Neurospora crassa OR74A: one gene and its partner. The protein of the gene in region 2 purifies or fractionates together with the protein of the main gene of each other region. This does not show direct contact. Links are inferred from orthologs where the notes say so. Each region holds a gene or a part of one and is shown on either strand. Other genes may lie near its edges.

Region 1 (4,652 bases), on a different chromosome or scaffold from region 2:
GTAGATACTCCCGGAACAGGAGAGATGCTGAAGCTGTGGCAGTGGCAGACCTCCAAGCCTGTTTGTTTGGGTCGTGATATTGCTTGCAAGGATCCAAAACCACCGGAAAGACTGAGGTGAGAGGCCGATGAACGCGGGTCGCGGACGCCGGAGGGCAAATCATCAGGTGATGCGTCATCGCATTGTCAGCTAAGATCAGCTCTAAGAAGCTCTGAGATTCAAGGGGGTTAGGGTTATCGATGTTCAAGCCATCTGCAAACCCCTCACCTGCTATTATAAGCTGACCATGGGGTACAAGCAGGCAACCAACAAACCAGAAATGGTCACGTAGCGGAGTGGTTACCGCGATGCTCTTGTGAGTCTTGACCCCGAAGATACCTTCTCCAAAGTGTTTGTCCCATACTAACACACGCAATTAGATACCTCCAAGCCATTGGAAGTTATGCATAGGTCCTGGGTTCGACCCCCAGCGCGACCACGGTTTCTAATTTTTTTGCAACTTTTCCCCCTTCGCTTGATTTCCATTTGTTTCCTTCCCCCCTTTGCATCCATGACTTGCCCCCAAGACCTCTCCGTGCTCCGGTATCTCGACGGCGGCACCCGACACGATTGAGCTACAGCTTCCTTATCGTTCAACGTAACCCGCCTTTTTGCCTTATCGCTTCGCTTGGATGGTGTCACTGCCAAGGGTATCCCGGGAGCAGCTCCGTCTCCCCATTTTGGAAGTCTGGATATCCACGGCGGCGGAGTCGTAACACCTCATCGTCACAATTCTCACCATGTCTGCCATGGAGTTTTGCTGTCACATTTTGTCACATAGGTATGCAATCGCTTCAAATCCATGTTCATCATCAACAACAGTAGGCATGATACCTATTCATTCCGCCCGTATGTTCATTTCGCTTGTCAGGAGAGCCTACTGCATTGTGCCTACTGTGTGGGATCTGGCGGTCCAAACTCTCCCAAGTCCCAGCTATGAGTGCCATCTCGAGCCGCTCTTGATTCATCATCTATTACACATCTAGACTTCCGGTTTCAACACAAACCAAAAACCCCAAACTCCCCATTCCGCTATTGATGCGCTTCTTCCTCCCCGTTTAGTTGTACTGGGCATAGGCCGCAGTAGAGTTGAACTTGAGGTTGCCCTTGATGACCTTGTCCACCGCACTCAAAAAGTCCTTCTCCGACGCCACCTTCCTGCGCGCACGGATGGCGAACATGCCCGCCTCCGTGCAAACACTACGCAACTCAGCACCCGTCGCGTTCGGGCACAGGCGAGAAATGAGCTCCCATCGGATATCGCGCTCGACTGACATGCTCTTGGCATGAATGCGCAGAATGTTGGCACGACCCTCGAGATCGGGGAGAGAGAACTCAATTTTGCGGTCGATACGTCCGGGACGCATCAGGGCGGGATCCAGCGTGGAAGGACGGTTAGTAGCGAACATAACCTTAATGTTGCCACGGGCATCGAAACCATCCAGCTGCGTAATGAGCTCCAACATAGTACGCTGAACTTCATTATCACCACCCGCGCCGTCATCGAACCGGGCTCCACCAATAGCATCAATTTCGTCAAAGAAGATGATGCAAGCCTTCTTAGTACGGGCCATCTCGAAAAGCTCGCGGACCATGCGGGCACCCTCACCGACGTACTTTTGAACCAGCTCGGAACCAATGACACGGATAAAGGTGGCGTCTGTCCTGTTGGCAACGGCACGGGCGCAAAGCGTCTTACCGGTGCCGGGAGGTCCGTATAGCAGGGCGCCCTTGGGGGGATCGATACCGAGGTTGACGAACCGCTCTGGCGACAAGAGGGGCATCTCCACGACCTCGCGTAGCTTCTCGACCTGTTCCTTGCAACCACCGACATCGCCGTATGTGACGTCAGGCTTTTCCTCGACCGTCATCATGGTAACGCTCGCATCGATCTTGGGAGGTAGCGGAAGGAGAATCTGATACTTGTTTCTGTCGACGCCGACGCGCATTCCTTCCTCGATATCTGTCGGGCTGACTCGCTCGCCCAGCTGGACAACAAACTTGGCGATCTGCTTGACGTTGATGACGTACTTGCTCTTCGATTCGTCCTTCTCGTCAGGGATGATCTTGGTGCACCGCGCTACCTGAAGCGGTTGCTCTTCTGACATACGCTGACGGTCGGCTGCCACATCCCAAAGGTGAGGGGGCGCAAGGCCGGTATCTGATTCCTGTAGACCAAAAAGTATCACTGGTCAGCTAGATGCGCTTCGCGGTTTGTAGGGTAGCCACCGCAAGACTAGCATACCTTGACGCCAATCTTCTCATCCACGCTCTGCTGCTTCTCCTTTATTTGCTGTTCTAGCTTCTTGATGGCAGCACCGTAGGGCGCGGCGCCGTATGTCTTGAGGACCTGAATATCCCTTGACGGGGGTTAGACGACTTGTCCGTTGCGGTGGTAGTGGTGGGCGGGCTCTCTTGGGCGGCAACATACTCGTCTGAGAGGGGAGTGATCTTCTTCTCCTCGACTTCATCGTCGCCAAACGTTTTCCTGTACTTCTCCCAGTTTTGACCTGTGGCAGAAGGCTATTCCCGGTGTCAGTCGTGCAAAGTGGCGTTGCACCTTTGGGTAGGGCGACTGCAAGCATACCATGATGACGGCGGGTGGGAATGACGCTTCCCGTTTGGACTAGGTAAGGCGAAGAAGGGTGGGTAATCGAAAGGATCGGGTCGGTAATTAAAGTCGCGATGGCTCCGGGCGAGAGATTCCTTGTTTGGCGTGGGTCGTTCGTGGGGTTGTAGAGATCTCGGCGCGGGTTTGATGTGGTGTGTCGGGTTCAAGTTGGTTTGATGGGTGTTCAGTGCTTGCTTGATGTGATGGATGGATGGATGGAGATGGTTCGTCAAGGTCCAACTGCCACCACTCACTGACAGAGGGTCGAAGCTCAATCGTTGCCGTAATCCATGCGCTGCCTTGCGGGCGAGGGAGCTACGGGTGGGTGCCACCTTGACAGCACCTACCTAACCCTATCCGGTTAGACTGTGTAAAGTTACAGCGCCGCAGGTACCTTTTCCACCGCCCACCGCTCAGCAAAAAGCAGCCGACAAAAAATTACCACCTGCCAGCCCACCTTTGCGCCCGCGCCAGCACTCACTTTACGGTCCCGCAGTGGAAACATTGGTACGGAGGGGACGGTGTGTGTGTGTGTTTTTGGCCCATTGATTCCAGACCAGCAAAGAAGGAGAAGAGGAGAGCTCTGCCTTACAACACAACAACTGCACTGCACCCAGCGCAAGCCGATTCCCCAAAACTGTCAACTCGAATTTCCGGCAGTTTCTGATCCCCCCATCCGACCTCCCGTCTACTATCTCCCATAATCCCAAATACCAGATCAAACAAGCTTGCACCATGGCGACCGCACCGGCAGCTACCCAGACGGCGAGCAATGCGACTTTCAGGGTGCGTCCCGCTTTTTGGAACCTGACCCCTCGATAGGAGTCGGTGCGAAAGCTCCAGGAGGAGGGGTGAAGCTCTGTGGCAAGCCAGTTGCTGATAGCCCACCATGTAAACAGGACAAGGAGAAGCCCATCGCCGTTCGCTCATCCAACATTGTCGCCGCCAGAGGTATGCCTACAACATTTTGTCATTCCGTCTTGTGTCGTTGTTGTCTGGGGTGCTGACACAGAGACATGCACCAGCCGTCGCCGATGCCGTCAGAACGTCGCTGGGACCGCGGGGTATGGACAAGATGATCATGACTGGAAAGGGGGAGACCATCATCACCAACGACGGCAGCACAATGTTGAAGAGCATGTCGGTCATGCACCCCACAGCCAAGATGCTCGTCCAGCTGTCGCACGCCCAAGATGTCGAGGCCGGTGATGGCACAACCTCGGTCGTCGTCCTTTGCGGTAGCTTGCTCGGTGCCGCCGACAGGCTACTAGGCAAGGGCATCCACCCCTCAGTCATCTCCGAAGCTTTCCAAAGAGCCGCCGCCGCTGCCGTAGACGTCCTCCACGACATGTCGCAACCCATCTCCCTCACAGATACCGCCTCGCTCCTCCAGGCCGCCAACACTTCGCTCTCCTCCAAGATCGTGTCACAATACTCCAACCTCCTCGGCCCCATGGCCGTCAACGCAGTCACCAAGACGATAGATCTCAAGACCGCCGAGAATGTCGACCTCAAGAACATCCGCATAATCAAGAAGGTCGGCGGTACGATCGAGGACAGCGAGCTGGTTGATGGTCTCGTCCTTACACAGCCCGTCATCAAGAGCGCTGGTGGTCCCGTCAGGATGGAGAAGGCCAGGATCGGTCTTATTCAGTTCCAGCTCAGCCCTCCCAAGCCTGATGTGCGTATACCTTTCTGGCGACCATAACCTACCCACCTTGCCTGCTGGCCCTAAATCGCCCAAACACTACCCTTTTCGTGCTTTTACTAACAACTCACTCTTACAGATGGAAAACACCATCTCCGTAAACGACTACCGCCAGATGGACAAGATCGTCAAGGAAGAGCGCACCTACCTCCTCAACATGGTCAAGAAGATCAAGAAAGCCAAGTGCAACGTCCTCTTCATCCAGAAATCCATCCTCCGCGACGCCGTCAACGACCTGTCCCTGCACTTCCTGCAGCGCCTCGGCATCCTCGCCGTCAAGGACATCGAGCGCGA
Region 2 (4,853 bases):
CCTGGGACGGGAGACCAGGCTGCCAGCAAACAATATATCCGCCTGTTCAAGGTAGAGGTAGGTAGGGTATGCTTGCCTGCCACGTCCAGCGCCGTGGATGGCTTGAAGGGCGTCTTAGTGGGTAGGAGCTGTATAAATGGCTCCTTTAAGATGAAAAGAGACGTGAGATCGAAGAGTTGAGCGTGTAATTTTACGATAAGCTGGCGTTTACAAATAATGGGTACCTGTAAGAACGGAAGCCTCGACCACAAAACACCTTAGACCTGAGTTCATTAAAGTTCGAAGCTTCAGTTATTAAAGCCGGTCTAGAATGGTAGAGGTAAGACAGCAAGGGGGTATCAAGTCCTCGTACAGCAGCCAGAGGACGACAATGCCTGCGACCGATACTACTATATGTGAAGGCATCTTTGGTAATTTACGTATTTCACGTATCAAAGTCGTTACGTATCAATGGGAACATTGACGTATGAAGTGGGTTTCTTCGTGTAACCGCGTTTGACGCAACAAACTCGCCGCCGACTTCGCTGAAGTGCAACAAACTTGGTATCGTTGGCGAGTGATGTGGCAATGGATCCTAGCAAAACTCCTCACTTTCACTCCGCTGGCGCTTAGCGAGGCTACATATCCACTTGATCTATTTGGCTTTCAAGAAGTAGAAGATGTGATGAACCCATAACGGTGGTAGCTTTTGCGTCAAAGAATGGCATCTTGACGTTATTGGCTTTACCTTGTGTAACAACAACTATGACGCCAAACCATAGACACCTACCCATCGCCAACCTCCCGTCGGGTTCGCCACGCCTCATCTATAGTGGGGTATAGTAGCGTAGCTATGATAGGTTTATGCTACCTAATAATTACAGCACCTTAGCCAAATACGAGAGGTCCCGCTTACGAATATGAATGAAGGCAAACTTATCCTCATGTTCAAGGATATGAGGGACCACTTCCAGCTGTATCAGTTAAGCCTGCAGGAAACAGTTGAACTTCCTGCCATCGAGACCATGGTCTAACGACTTGTCTTCTCATGTATCATTTCGTATTAACACACCTTCTCTGGTGTACTTTCTTGGGTGAAGGCTGAGGCTGGACCCTTGGCTCGTCTCCTGCTACATTTCAGCCGCCCATTCGGGCTACGGATAGATGACCATCACCTCCACGAGCCCAACCAGCCCATTCTTCGAGATCCCATCACTGGTGCCTCACCTTGTAATCCGAATCCGGCAGATACAAATGCCTGTCGGCGCCCTTCTCCGTCAACACCACCATCCTGATGACACCTCCCGAGGAGCCATCCCACTTGATCGCCTCCTTGAGTGCCTCCTTGACAAACGCTACGGCTTCGGCTTCCTCCATTCCTTCCTTCCAGTTGGCGTCGCAGTACCCATAAATGTATGTGGAACCGGAACCGCCAATCGAATACGGCTGCTTGTGCAGGGAGCCGCCGAGCGGAATGTTGTACACTTGACCACCGTGGCGGGCATCCCAGCCGGCAATAATGAGGCCGGCACTGTTGAAATCCAATAGTCAGCACGGAACCCGACCTGTGCATGATAAGAGAAGAGGAAGAGGGCGCAAGAGAAAGAGAGAAAAACGCAGCAAAGTGAGATGAAGGGAAGGGGGCCACCAAAAACATACGTCAACCTATCCTTGTTGGCATAAGCAATCTCCTGGAAGACAGCAGCCGCAATCTGTGTCGTCGGAGGCCTGCCGTTGACCATGTGGTACAATCCCAGCTGGTATTGCACAATGTCGGCGACGGCTTGTGTATCGGCGGCGGATCCGGAGCGGCAGCACCAGATGGTGTCGTGTACTTGGGTCAGCTTGTCGGTTACGCGGTTGGCAATGTAGGCGCCTGTGGTTGTGCGGGAGTCGGCTCCTGTTCAAGGTGTCAGCCTGAGATCGATGATTCTGTCTCCGGAATCCAAGGGTATGTAGTGTTGTTGGCTGGAAGACACTAACCGAGAATAACACCGTCCTTGAATGTGACCGCCATACTGTATTTATATCAAGCTCGTTAGACATCGCTGCTGCTTCGCGTGTGGATACCCGGGATCCTGTCGCATCGTCGAGAGGCTCGATGTCGTAAGGGAGGGATAGAAGGTCGGGGGAAGCTTACATCGAGGTACCCAAACTATTAGCAGACAAGAAAGTTAGCTGACTGCTTCATTTGTTCATGCGCATCGCTTGCGACTATATGATAGGTGGGATTGGAACTAGAACCATGGGCGCGCAGTGTGGTGTACTTACTTGACCTCACCCTTCTTCAACCTGTCCATATCGACATGGATGCCATCTGTAGGAGACAGTAGCGGTTAACATGTGTTGTCTGCGATCGACCTCGGAGGGGGAACGGTGTTGGCGGCAGGGAGTTGCCGGACTCGAAGAGAGTTGGTAGGTTGGTGACTTGTAGGCAGTGGTGACGCCGTGATGGTGATGACTTGATATGGAATGCGACGCCGAATGGAAGTTGGAGCTCACCTTCGCTGAGCACGCCCGACGTTCCAAATTCCATGATGACGGGGCTATCGAGTGGTTGTCGTTCTAACGTAATGCGCAATCAAGATGTTGGACAGTCTCGTGAACAGTCGTTCGGACGCTCGTCGCAGTGTAAATCGAGAGGACAAAGGCGTGGAGTTGTGGAATCGTTTCAAGTCGTGTTGTTGTTCGTTGTACTACTGAAAGGAAGCTCCAACGAACGCTGGGTGAACCTCGAAGGCGGCGAAGGCGGGCCCATCACAGGGCGGGACGGCCAGTTGAGTGGAAGCTCAGGCCCCCCTCAGCTCAAGGCAGCTCCAAACACGCGTGTTGCAGACGGCGGGCTTGGCTTGGCTTTCACTTAAGTGGATCACGTGCGATAGCCGCCATAAGCTCCCGTCCCCTCGAGGCCCGGTCGTATCGATTGTTCTTATCTTATCAGTCTCTTTCACGCGATTCGACTCCATCTGATAGCGTCATCGTCGGGCTCTCTGCAGTGGAGCGATATTCTCTAATCGGGGTTCATGTATAAGGTATACGGCAGCATAACCAATGAGACAACCAAGGGAATTGCCTGGCCATTGTCTTTCGTTGACCTTTTGCAACCACGGCACAGAGGTAATTATCAACTTAATTCAAAATACCAATGCTCAATATCTCAACGGTTTCGTTTCGCAAAGGGCCCTGGAGCTGGCGGCGGTATAGAAGCAGGCAAATCCATGTCTTTGACAACCTCATTTCCACAGCGCCTTGGAATCTGAACGCCCCTCGGGTCGAGTTCGTCCGAATTACGACAGGACACCAGTCGATATCGGTGTTACGACTGCAATATCCAAGACATTTCCGTCTCTAATCAATGGGCGTTCCGGCATACGCCGCTCACGGTCACTTGATATCCATGCGTGATTGTCACCTCCCTACAAGTGCAGAATCAACTTTTCCTCCTATTCAACCCTCAATCCATCTTGAGATCTTCTCCCTTCTTTGTCTCTGTTTTGACCTCTGCCCCAGCGCCAGCTTCCCCCGCCTTTTTGGCACCTTCATCCCCACAGCCACAATCATAGAAATCCCCAATCTTGTTACAGTCAAATTGCTCTTTCTTGAGGCGCTTGTTGACCTCATTATGGACAAAGCAGGCCCATCCGGCCGCCGCGTTGCGCCCGCTCGTTTGCGGTGGGTACTTCTTTAGCAGCTTCTGGAAGTGCGATGCGCAGTCGCCACAGGGGTAGAGGCGCGCGAACAGCTGGATGTAGGTTTTCAAAGCCAACGATTCTTCGGCGGTCGGGGTCTCGGGGAAGCGCGCCATCATGGTGTGGAAGAGACGCCAGGAAGCGCGGCCTAGTTCTGCTCTGTTGTGGTTACTGTGGTTAGCGAAATGATGCCTGGCCAGACGGGCATAGCGTGATGTAGGGTGCGATGTAATGCACATGATAGACATACTTGGCCGTCGCATTCTCCAGCTTGGGCGCGATAGAGCCGCCCTTGAGGATGTTATCCGATATGCCAAACGCGGACTTGCTGCCGCCATCGCCACTAGCACTCTTGTGATCTCCGCTGCCGCTACTTCCGCCTAAATCGAGAGTCTCTGAATGCTGTACCACCCCCGAGGAGCCACTCGAGGAGAGCATGTAGGTCGTAAACACAAAGAGAATGACGCCGACGACGAGCATCAGCGTAATGTGCGGCCTTCGCGCCATGATGATGGTAAATCGATTCGATTAGGGTAGTCCCTGTGGAGGTCTTTCTCGCGCCCAGTTGACTTGGTTCGACTTTGTTTTTCTGACCGAACGTGTTTGGTTCTTGTCGCCGGTGAATTCAGGATCCTGCCTGTTTCGCGTGTGGTCGTGAGGATCAGAGCGCACGTTGTTGTAGAGATTAGGTGATGGTATCGTGGGCGTTCAATGAGACTGCGCGCGCAACTACCTCGAGGTCATATTTGTGGCAAGCGGGTAGTAAATATCGTTGTGAAGTAGAAAAGAGTAGGGCAAAGGAGACTTCGCATCAAGAGGAAGAATGGACCGATGATGATCCCCTGAATTGTGGTTCGAGAAACGAACCCTTTGAGTTGGCGGAATTGGAAGCGCCGATTGGACTTGAAGCGAGAGACCCGACCCCACGTCCGGTTTGGTTCTACCTCTAGGTGGCATGCCCCTGGCAATCTCCCGTCATCAGCGGAGGGTCGGGCCCAGCCGAGGCTGTGTCTTGGATTGTTTCAGGGGCAGTTGAGCCTGCTGACCCACTGGCCGGACAACCTAACGGGACACGAGGAGAGTGGGCACGCACAGGGCAGGCGGAGCCCGGGGATATCACCTAAGTGGGGCGGCCCTTCTGCGGTCACGGTCGAGAGACCCGACATGGAACTTCCGTTAAAACAT

What was found. Proteins that work in one complex are often made in the same cells at the same time.
Region 1: the proteins of pcb-1 (region 2) and rpt-1 purify together in Saccharomyces cerevisiae (affinity purification with mass spectrometry; 3 studies listed by BioGRID, with this or other methods). This does not show direct contact. The link is inferred for Neurospora crassa OR74A from reciprocal best matches to the Saccharomyces cerevisiae genes PRE3 and RPT1.

Annotation. Positions count from the first base shown.
Region 1 is NC_026501.1:8,943,963-8,948,614, forward strand, and holds rpt-1 (26S protease regulatory subunit 7), read right to left. Parts: upstream 3,197-4,652; 5' UTR 2,630-3,196; coding exon 2,627-2,629; intron 2,563-2,626; coding exon 2,471-2,562; intron 2,400-2,470; coding exon 2,285-2,399; intron 2,208-2,284; coding exon 1,098-2,207; 3' UTR 840-1,097; downstream 1-839. Other genes in the region: NCU02839 (T-complex protein 1), read left to right, coding at 3,386-3,436, 3,550-3,601, 3,676-4,331, 4,438-4,652. UniProt on the Saccharomyces cerevisiae protein: The 26S proteasome is involved in the ATP-dependent degradation of ubiquitinated proteins. The regulatory (or ATPase) complex confers ATP dependency and substrate specificity to the 26S complex.
Region 2 is NC_026507.1:58,510-63,362, reverse strand, and holds pcb-1 (proteasome component PRE3), read right to left. Parts: upstream 3,005-4,853; 5' UTR 2,516-3,004; coding exon 2,482-2,515; intron 2,297-2,481; coding exon 2,251-2,296; intron 2,135-2,250; coding exon 2,120-2,134; intron 1,998-2,119; coding exon 1,963-1,997; intron 1,880-1,962; coding exon 1,639-1,879; intron 1,511-1,638; coding exon 1,192-1,510; 3' UTR 781-1,191; downstream 1-780. Other genes in the region: NCU09289 (hypothetical protein), read left to right, coding at 1-57, 310-399; NCU09291 (FAD dependent sulfhydryl oxidase Erv2), read right to left, coding at 3,434-3,827, 3,919-4,175. UniProt on the Saccharomyces cerevisiae protein: The proteasome degrades poly-ubiquitinated proteins in the cytoplasm and in the nucleus. It is essential for the regulated turnover of proteins and for the removal of misfolded proteins.